3 linked regions of the Coturnix japonica genome follow. The protein of the gene in region 1 interacts with the protein of each later gene in a biochemical or structural test. Links are inferred from orthologs where the notes say so. Each region holds a gene or a part of one and is shown in the gene's direction. Other genes may lie near its edges.

Region 1 (4,034 bases):
TGGCTGCTTACTCATCTGTGGGGGAGCGTGAACCTACTGGATGCACAAAGCCCACAGGGCCCTGGGGACCAATTTATCCCCTTCTCATGCTCCCTTACTGATCAGGAAAGCCCTGGTACTGCTGCAGAACACTGCCCATGTTTTATGAAGTGCTAAATGCTTGGCCACTCTGCTATATGGCCCTGCCACGTGCCCAAGGAGCTGTTGTTTCACCCCGGTGTCCTCACCCTCCAAACACACTCGAAATTAATAAAACCCACCCAGAGCTGGAGCAATGGCACTGGTTTCCATCACCAGGGCTGTGGCCACCAGCAAGTCCCACCAGCAGAACACAGATGGAAACCACTGGCTTGGGTTCTCCCCTCCTATCTGCTTTGTGTCTGCTCCTCATCACCATTTGCATGCTTTTCCTTGTGGCCCCAAAGGAATCCTTGTCTGAGCTGGCAGAGGGCTGGCCCCCAGTTGGAGAGCACCAGGAAGGGCCCCAAATGGCTCTAAATGAACCCAAAGTCAGGCAGGGTGCTGGTGGGTGGGTGGGTGTGGGGAATGTGCTTCCTCAGAGAGGGTGATTTGGGGAATAAAATCCCTGCAGGGTCAGCTCTACTCTTGTCTGACATTCTTTCCACTGACCGATCCCTCTGCTGGAATCTGGCCCAGAGCAGGAATAGGAGGAGGTGGGAGATGGTTTCTGACGTTCCCGGTGGAAAAAAGCCCTCAGGATTACAGACAAAGCCGGGGAGATGCGGTTGGAGTCTTGGGGAAGGGAGAAAACCCCATCCCATTGTGCTCACCAAAAGCCCATTGCCATGCCTCAGTTTCCCCACTGGGAAGGTGGGAGCCATCCCTCTCAGGGCTGTGTTTCTCTCCTGCCCCACAGCTCTGGGGGGAACACAGGAGGCACAGCACAGAAGTGAGGAGCTCCAAGCAGCACTGGGCTCTGCACCCCATTGCACAGCTGCCCCTACTCCGACCACTTCACCCCATAACTGAAGGGACCAGATGACACAGGAATGCAGTTTGGGGCTGGCAACCCCAGTGCCACCCACGGGCTCAAACAAAGCCCCTGTTGGGGCAGCCAGGGCAGCTCCCACCCTACCATCTCCCCCCCCTCCCTCCCCAAGCTGTGCAGTCCTCGTGGCCGCAGCCGGACAAGTTTTGATGCGAGGCAGCAGCTTATGGTGGGCTCAGGTTTCCTTTAAGTTTTCTATATTTATCTCTGTGATTTAATGCCAGCGCTGGGGTTTAAATGGCACCGAGCAGTTGGCGCAGGGAAACGGAGCAGCCGTCCCTGAGCTGTGCACACGTCCTCCCATGGAGCTCTTTGAGACCAACCCTTACTTTTTCCCGGAGCAGAGGTTTTATGATGGGGAAAACTTCCTGGGCTCCCGCTTGCAGGGATACGAGGCAGCCACGTTTCCCGAGCGGCCCGAGGTGTCCCTGTGCCCTGAAAGCAGAGGGGCTTTGGAGGAGAAGGACTCGACGTTGCCTGATCACTGCCCTGGGCAATGCTTGCCATGGGCTTGCAAGATCTGCAAGCGCAAAACCGTGTCCATTGACAGACGTCGGGCGGCCACACTGAGGGAGAAGAGGAGGCTGAAGAAGGTGAACGAAGCCTTCGAGGCTCTGAAACGCAGCACTCTGCTCAACCCCAACCAGAGGCTGCCCAAGGTGGAGATCCTACGCAGCGCCATTCAGTACATAGAGCGCCTGCAGAGCCTGCTCAGCAGCCTCAACCAGCAGGAGCGCGAGCAGAGGGAGCTGCGCTACCGCCCCACTGCACCACAACCTGCTGTGAGTGTGGGGATGGGTGTGGATGGGGGGTGGGAGCTGGTGGTGATGGAGGAATGGGGTGGTGATGCTCAGTTTGCTGTCCCTATGAGTGGGTGTTGGTGGGTAATGGGCTGATGGCCATTGCGTTGAGCACAGTGGGTTGGTGGGGGGTGGGAAGGCTTAAGTCATAGAAACAATTGTAGAACTATGGGATCATTGAGTTGTGGAATGTGGTCATAGAACTATGGAATCATGGGGCAATAGAGTCATGGAATTATGGGGTCAAGGAATCATACAGTCCTAAAATCATAGGACCATAGAATAATGGAATCATAGAGCCATGGAATCATGGGGTCACAGAACCATGGAATCATGGGGTCATAGAATCATGGAATCGTGGGGTCACAGAGACATGGAATCATTGGGTCAAGGAATCATACAGTCCTAAAATAATGGGACCATAGGACATGGAATCATAGAACCATGGAATCATGTGGTCATGGAATCATAGAATCATTGAGTCATGGAATGATAGAACCATGGATTCATGGAACCATATGATGGTTGGATTGGATCTCAAAGATCCTCCAGTTCCAATCCCTGTCTGTGGGCCACAAAGCGGGGTAAAATATGGCAATGAAAAGTAGTGTAGTGAAAAATATAGCACAGTACAATGCATTGCAATACAGTACAACACAATATGGTACAATACAGTAAGAAAACAATGTAACAACAGCTATGTAATGTAATGTAACATAAAGCAATGTAAAGTAATACAATGCTCTAGGCCTGACCCCCTGGTGCATGAGGACTTGTCCTAGTGGGGACCAGCACTGGTTTCTCAGTCCAATGGCACCAAACTGGGATCCAGGCAAGAATCCTTGAGGCAGTGGCATCCTGCCCTCAGCACACAGGGTGTGGTTGGGCTCCATCCACCCCATCAAGAGATTCTGGAGGCTTAAGTACATTTTTGGGGGATATTTTTGTCTGCCATCTGGTTGCTGGGGGATGATGGTTTGCAACTCCTGGCTGCTGAGGCTTTGTATGTGGGAATGTGGAGCTGTGGATGCAGTTATGGGTGATATAGGTGTAGATGAGAGATGTAAATGATATATAGATATAGGTGATATATAGACTGCAGATGCATGGGTATGAATAGAGACTGTATAGATTACAGATATAAATGATATAGATATGTACATATAGATGACATTGAGATGAATGGCATATAGATACAGATACCAGATATCTACATATTGATACTGACATCAGTGGACTTTGTAAAAGGGGAGAAAGGGGTGACTTGCAAAGATTCATCCTCTTTCAGACCTTGGCACTTTGATACTGTCTGGCTGCCCCTCCAGCAGAGCTTTGCATCCTGAGTGCAAGCAGGTGGCCATGCACCCAGAGCACCAAAATGGGTTTTCCAGAACTCATGGAGATTAATGATGCACCTGGCACTGGTGGATCCCTAGGATCCCAAATGTCACCATCTGCTCTGGGTCTGTGACCACATATTGGTGCTGTACTGCCAGGGATGGCAGTGCTGGGGGCAGGCAGTGGGATTTGGCTGGTGGAGGTGGGCTCGTGCAGCACTTTGGTCCTTGCAGGCACCCAGCGAGTGTGGCTCTGGCAGCTCATCCTGTAGCCCTGAGTGGAGCACCCAGCTGGAGTTTGGCACCAACCCCACAGGTAAGGAACTCCCCTTCCTCAGCCCTCCATCCCAGGGACACCACAGTGCTGGGGCTGAGCATCCCTGAACCAAAACCCACAGCCAGGGGACAGGAGGAGCCTTGTCCTCCCCCTACCCCAGTGTTGGGTGACCCCTCCAGCACTGCCTGAGTGCACTCAGACTTCTCCCATTGTCCGATGTGCTGGAAGCAGCCATCAGGACGGGATCTGGGAGCAGATCCCCATGTCAGTGTTGTCACACAGGGTGGTGTCATGGGGCCACCATCCCATTGCCCTGCCTCTTCTCTCTCAGATCATCTCCTGAGTGATGATGCAGCAGAGGACCGCAACCTCCACTCGCTCTCCTCCATTGTGGAGAGCATCGCTGTGGAGGACGTGGCCGTGACGTTCCCAGAGGAAAGGGTCCAAAACTGAGCTGGCACAAATCCCTGCAGCTCTCCAAGCTGGAAATGGGGTGGGATTGAGATGCTGGAAGGATCCAGCTGCTGGAAATCATAATTACCCCTCCAACACTGTGGACTGCAGCACTGAAACGGCCCAAATCCTTTCCCACTCCTCTCCAAACGCTCCCA
Region 2 (2,830 bases), on another chromosome or scaffold:
CTTAGCAACGGCTCTTGGCTCCACGTGCCATCCATGCCTTTCAGATAAGGGACACATGCCTACCAAGACAAGCAGCTGCTCGCACTCAGAGACTTCAGGTCCATTCAACCAGAGTCTAGATTTAAAGCAGTGACATAGAGGGTACAACTTGCACTCTACTGCGTGCCACTGTCACGGCACATTCTGTCCCCAGGTCTACTGATATTTACCCTTTATGCCTCTCTTCCTTCTGGCAGTGGCTTGCAGGAAGGCTCTGGACAGCACCACAGTGGCAGCTCATGAATCTGAAATCTACTGTAAGACTTGCTACGGGAGGAAATACGGCCCCAAAGGTGTTGGATTTGGACAAGGGGCTGGATGTCTCAGCACTGACACTGGGGACCATCTGGGCCTGAACCTGCAACAGTGAGTCCAACCCTAATGGCAGCACCATGTGTCTGCCTGGTGCTACCTGTCACTCAGGGCTGTTTCAGGTACCCTGTAACAGAGGTATTTTCCAATCACAATGATTTCCTGACTCTGTAACAGTGTCTTTTCCATGCTGGACTTGTTGATCTTAGCAGTCTTTTCCAACCTTAACACAGCAAACTTGTGTTTTAGGGGATCACCAAAGCCTGCTCGCCCTTCTACACCAACTAACCCTTCCAAGTTTGCCAAGAAGGTGGTTGATGTGGATAAATGTCCCCGCTGTGGCAAATCAGTGTACGCTGCAGAGAAGATAATGGGAGGAGGAAAAGTAAGTAAAAAGGTTACTAAAAATACAAACAAACCCTTTTCCCCCTACACTGATTAGCTATAACTAATAACCCTTGAAGATTTTGCCTGGTTGATGAAGAAAACATAAGGTTGAATAAGCAAAACATCCAACGTACTGACTGTCAGATTTCAAGTCACATTGAAGCTATGCTTTTCCATAAGCCTACAACATTTTGCATCTTAAGGTCTGAGGGTCAACCCTTCCTTTTTGGCTCCTGCTGTCATCCTGCTATAACATCTCTTGGGACAGTTATAATCTAAACATTGATTTGTAGGGGCAAATGCAGATATATTAAAGAGATCCTATGACCAGAAAAAACAGCACTGTGATATGCTGGCCCTCTGCTCTAGAAGCTCTTACTCATTATCACACCATGATGTGGCCAAGGAGAGCGCTATCTACAGCTCTCTGCTTTTTACCAGAGTTCCAACAACAAGAAGCTCATTAAATAAGATCCTAAAACTAATCTAAAAAGTACTGAACTTGTAAGCCCAGGAAGACAAAATTAACCTCACCGCACAACAAGAAGCAACAGCTGTTCCTTGCATCCACTAGCTCTGCATCTTCTGTAATATAACAAACCATCTTCATCCCTTCAGCCTTGGCACAAAACATGCTTCCGCTGTGCTATCTGTGGAAAGAGTTTGGAATCTACAAACGTTACAGACAAAGATGGAGAGCTCTACTGTAAAGGTAAGAATTATTCCTTTTAGACCTAATATTGCTGTTGTGATTTGCCTTGCTGCATTGCTTGATAACAACAAATCACAAAAGCCACTTAGGGAAGCATTCACAATACTCTTTACCTTTTCCTTTCTTTTGCAGTTTGCTACGCAAAGAACTTTGGCCCCAAAGGAATTGGTTTTGGTGGCCTCACTCAAGTGGAAAAGAAAGAATGCGAGTGAAAAGAAGCGGATGCAACAGAGTCAATCTGCTGCTGATGTCAGCAGATAATAGTTGTCAAGTAAAACAAAAGCCATCACCTACAGCTTGTAACATAGGGCGTTCGTGAGATACTTTCCATCTTGCAGGACAACTCTTAGAACAGCTTAAAAAAGGTACAGTGATCAAGTCAGGTTCTTATACTAGTATTTACCACAGTTCAGACTTTAAAGAGTCTGTCCCATTCGGACAGAGATACCCTATGAATCACAAGGGTCAGAGTCTTTTGATCTAGGCCAGTTTCCTCATAGTGTTTTGAAGACTTCAACATTATTTCTAAGGCAGAGTAGATATTATTCACTTTGACACAGTTTAGAAGTATTTGAAATTCCCTCTCTAAAAGGGAGATCCTTCTGAAGATAAAGCAAGTCTTCTTAGAATATAGAGTTTAAGTTTTGTTATTGTACATTTTCAAGCTACAATAAAGTGCTCCTATTGCTTCACATTTCTGTTTACTTCAATTTGCTTGTGTTTTACATCCCACGGTGCCACAGACTACTGCATTTCAAGGAGGAAATTTCATCTCCCATTCCTTGACTGCAAGAATTCTGTCTCATTACACTGCTTCCATCTACATTGTTAGTTCTAGACAGCATTTTACTTTGATTTCCTGAATTCAATCTGCTTCTGATAGTTTTTATTATGAAGTACTTTGACTTCCAACACACTGCTCAGCCTGCCACACTGGAATGATGCTGTAGCATCTTGTGAGCATGACTGTTAGCTGTTGTAGATCTATGTAGGTATGCAGGTGAGAATAGTTGCCTTTTTCATACATGCTAATGCTTTCTATCATCACCTTATCAATTTTCATAACCTAACAGGGCATACACACGAGCTGAACTTAAGGCAAACAAGCTAGGCTTTGTGCTTACCTGTTCTTAAATACACTCCTGGTCGTATCTCTCATGAATCTGTTTCAATCTGTAAAATATTTCTAGAAGCATAAAAACTCTGTTTCATCACACATAAGACCCCCAAATACAGCGTTAATAGACTCTGTTCACAATGTAAGATAACCAGTTACAGGCCAATTTTTTATACTGAATTTAATTAAACTGAAGTTTATTATTTAGAACAATAAAAAAATAGAAACAAGCAGTTTTTGGAAGAATATAAAAATTAACAAAA
Region 3 (3,726 bases), on another chromosome or scaffold:
GGAGAACACTGTGTGTGCCTCCCCATGCCTGCTGCTAGCACGTGTGGGGGCTGAGAGGGAGGGTGGCTGTGCAGGTGTGTAAGTGTGGCAGGTTCCTGCAGTGTAACTTACATGTAGTTTGTCCTGCTGCCAGTGACCCTCCCAGCGACCATCATGACGTCGTCTGTGCCAACCACCGTGGGCGGCCACATGATGTACCCCAGCCCGCACGCGGTGATGTACGCACCCACCTCTGGCCTTGCGGATGGTGGACTTGCAGTCCTCAATGCTTTCTCGCAGGCACCCTCAGCAATGCAGGTGTCCCACAGCCAGGTCCAGGATCAGGGTAAGTCTGGGTTGGTGCTTCTTTGGGGGTTCTCCTTTTTCCATGTGTTTTTTTGCTATGTATCCATTCTAGAGGATTTTCTTCTAAACCATCATATCTACTGAAAAGACCCAGCAAGGGTCTGTGCTTTTTAGAGCCAGCTCTTCTCCTGTGTAAAGGATTCCTTGAGTCATTTTCTGGGTGAGAGGGTGAGAGTTGCTGGCGTGGGGGGAGTCAGGAAGACTGGAAGGGATGTGTGGGTGCATGAGGGGCCAAAACAGTGTGAAGGCATGCATGCAGGATGTGGATTGAACGCTTATGCTTGGTTCCCAGCATCTGGAAAATGATGTCATTCTTTCTGTGGCAGGTGGTGTCCCCCAGGTGTTCCTGACAGCCCCATCAGGCACCGTTCAGATCCCAGTCTCAGCTGTCCAGCTTCACCAGGTAGGTGCAGAGCGGTGCTCTCAGATGTGGTGGGTTCTGTTCCTGCTTCTCCTCTGGGGCAGTGCTGGTCCTGCTCTGAACATCCTTTATGGGCCTGGGCACTTGAGTAGGGCCAGTCCTCGGGTCTTGGGGAGCTGGAGGAGCTGTTTGTGCCGCCTACACATGGGTGAGGAGCTCTTGCCCTCCTTGGGCAAGTGGCGAGGGATGCTGGCTTGCTGGTGGTAGCAGTCTTTAAGTGCTGTCCCTTAGCACTTGCTCCTCCCTTCTCTCTCTAGATGGCTGTCATTGGGCAGCAGAGCAGCAGCAGCAGCAGCCTGACGGAGCTGCAGGTGGTCAACTTGGACACCTCACACAACGCCAAGAGTGACTGAGAGGCCTCTGCTGCTGGCCTTGTGCCGTCCCTGGCTTGTCACGCTGGGGCTGGCAGCAACTCTCTCGTACAGACTGCACCAGTTATTTATTGTTGCCTTTTCACGTTTCCTTCATCCACACATGCGCACACACACGCACCCACCCACACACACAGCATGCAAGGGGCTGCAGGACCCGCCTGGGGAGAAGCTGTGCTGGGGCCGTGCAGGGCTGGGGGCCGTTGGGATACTCGTCTCTCGCCAGCCAAAGAAGCTTGTCTCGTGAGGAGAAGGTGTGCTCCGTGCTGTACATACATCCTGGGGGCCCTTCCCAGCTGGAGGCCCTGGACCCTTCGGGGTGCTCACCCCATCTGTGGGTGTTTGTGTAGGGCTGGGGCTGGGTGCTGTCCTGCAGAGCCTCAGCAATGTGCCTTTGTGGGGGGGATGGGTCCTGGCTGCGGCAGCTCTCCCTGGGCTCTGCAGGGAGCGAGCGGCCTACTTGGATGTGCATATCTGGTTGGGCCTGGCGTGTGGCCCCAGCCTCCTCATGTGCACTACAGCAAGGCTTCCGCCCTCAGTGCCTCCTTGCTGGGCTGCCCGGTGGGTTGGCAGTTGCAGTGCTCAGTGGGTGCCCAGCAGCTCAGCGAGGCCATGGGCGGTGTCTTTGCTCCCAGCCCCGAGCTCCCATCTCGGCCCTCATGCTGCTTGTGGACTCCATACGCCCGAGGGGGGGGGGGATGTGACTGGATCTTTCCTGCACCCCTCTGCTGCAGCTCCAGCCACTGCTTTCTAAATTCTCTGATGCAAGGTGGAGAAGTGACTCCAGTGCCAAAGGGAAGAGTCCACAAGGCACTGAGCTGCTGGTGGGCAGCGTGCTCTTCCAGGGAGCAATGGGGCTGGAGGAGCCTCAGCAGGGCCACAGGAGAAGGACTGGAGTGTGCTTGGTCCTGCATGGGAGCTGCTGCCTGGTCCTGGCCCTGCAGGGAGAGCGAGTGAGCAAAGGAGCTGCTGCATCCTTAGGGGTAGGAGCAGCTACTGTAACTTCTTTTTTTTTTTTTTAAGTTAAAGACAAAAGAAGCCTTGGGGGGAGGAAAAAAAAAAAAAAAAAAAAAAGGAAAAAAAAAAAAAAAAAAAAAAAAAAAAAAAAAAAAAAAAAAGAAAATGACTTTATTTTTCTAAGTGTTAAACTCAGTATTTATGTAATACTTTAAGGAATAAAAGTTTGGCTCCTGTACAGTTTTCATGGGGTTTGTACCGGGGGGATGGGAGAGGGGTGGGTGGGCGTGGAGGCAGGAAGGGGCCTTGCTTTTGAGTTTGTATTGTAACCTTGGACATGTTCCCTCCACGTTAGCGTTTAACTGTGCTGTCTGCTGGGATGTCCCGGCCCTCCCTGGGAGATGAGGGGCTGTCAGCAGCCTATCTCTGCTCTCCCTGCCCATAGTGCAGGTGGCACCTCCTGAACTCCCAGCTGAGGGGCTGGGCTGGAGTTTCCCCCTCCACAGCCTCAGCTTGTGCTGTTTTTTAGCGCACGGATGTGGCCGGGTTCCTTCCATGACCTCTGCAGAGAGCTTGGGGTGTGCGTTAACCTTGCCCCAAGCCCGTTACCAGGGCTGTGCTTTGCTCTGCTTTGCTCGTGCTGGCCCTATGGGGCTGCGATGGCAGTGCCCTGCTGGGCATCTCCTCCCTTCCTCCCCAAAGGCAACCGCTGGTTAAACGCTAATGGTGTCTTTTATTTAAGTGCAGACTTGTAAGAACACTCGTGTATCAGGGACGAAACGGCATTTATTGTGTGGTGACATTTTTAATTCATTTTACTGGTTTGAGGGTTGTGTGTGTGCGTGCATGTGTGCGGGTGTGTGTGTGCGTGCATAGGTGTGTGTGTGTGCGTGTGGGATTCTTTTTTCCCCTCCAGTTTCCAGGGTCGTGTATCTGGAAGGATGTGGAAGTTAATCACAGTACTATGTACAGAGCTTTCTTTTGTATGGGAAAAAAAAAAAAAAAAAGAATAAATTACTCTTTCAATAAATGTTATCATTTTGTGCACAGAGCTGGAGTCTTGTCCGTGTTTTGCAGGTGGAGGGGCATTAGGGAATATACAGCCAATGAATGGGGAACTTGGGTAGACCCTACTGCACAGCCCTTCTACTGTACAGCCCCCTATTGTACAGCCCCCTACTGCACAGCCCTTCTACTATCGTACAGCCCCCTACTGCCCAGCCCCGGCTGCAGGCGGTGCCATCTCCCCGCCCCGCCCGGCGGCATCGCGCAGGCGCCTGGCGGAGCATTGCCGGACACGGAAGCGGCTCTGATCCGTCCCTCCGGTCTCGGTGGGGCCAGGCCCGGAGCCGGAGCGGCGGGCGGAGGTGAGCGGGGCGGCCCGGAGGCGGAGCTGGGCCGCGTGGTGAGCAGAGCGGCCTGCGGGCATCGGGCTGCTCCGGGAAGGGCGGGGAGAACGAGGGAAGGTGTGCGGGGATGGGGAGCAACGTGTGTAGGTGACTCTTGTTGGTTCCAGTGCGACAGCGAGAGGCAGCGTCTGCATGAAGCCTTGAGCTCTGCGTGACCTTGCAGTCAGCGCTCAGACACTGAATAACAAGGGCGAAAGCAGGAGTGCAGGAGCAGTGATTTGTG

What was found.
Region 2: the proteins of MYOG (region 1) and CSRP3 form a complex in vitro, tested with the Homo sapiens proteins (2 studies listed by BioGRID and IntAct, with this or other methods). The link is inferred for Coturnix japonica from reciprocal best matches to the Homo sapiens genes MYOG and CSRP3.
Region 3: the proteins of MYOG (region 1) and SRF form a complex in vitro, tested with the Homo sapiens proteins (2 studies listed by BioGRID and IntAct). The link is inferred for Coturnix japonica from reciprocal best matches to the Homo sapiens genes MYOG and SRF.

Annotation. Positions count from the first base shown.
Region 1 is NC_029541.1:1,351,281-1,355,314, reverse strand, and holds the start of MYOG (myogenin), read left to right. Parts: upstream 1-1,234; 5' UTR 1,235-1,311; coding exon 1,312-1,791; intron 1,792-3,380; coding exon 3,381-3,462; intron 3,463-3,754; coding exon 3,755-3,876; 3' UTR 3,877-4,034. UniProt on the Homo sapiens protein: Acts as a transcriptional activator that promotes transcription of muscle-specific target genes and plays a role in muscle differentiation, cell cycle exit and muscle atrophy.
Region 2 is NC_029520.1:1,434,824-1,437,653, reverse strand, and holds the end of CSRP3 (cysteine and glycine-rich protein 3), read left to right. Parts: intron 1-236; coding exon 237-405; intron 406-600; coding exon 601-736; intron 737-1,356; coding exon 1,357-1,450; intron 1,451-1,582; coding exon 1,583-1,662; 3' UTR 1,663-2,144; downstream 2,145-2,830. UniProt on the Homo sapiens protein: Positive regulator of myogenesis. Acts as a cofactor for myogenic bHLH transcription factors such as MYOD1, and probably MYOG and MYF6.
Region 3 is NC_029518.1:3,481,754-3,485,479, reverse strand, and holds the end of SRF (serum response factor), read left to right. Parts: intron 1-133; coding exon 134-325; intron 326-671; coding exon 672-748; intron 749-1,023; coding exon 1,024-1,119; 3' UTR 1,120-3,143; downstream 3,144-3,726. UniProt on the Homo sapiens protein: SRF is a transcription factor that binds to the serum response element (SRE), a short sequence of dyad symmetry located 300 bp to the 5' of the site of transcription initiation of some genes (such as FOS).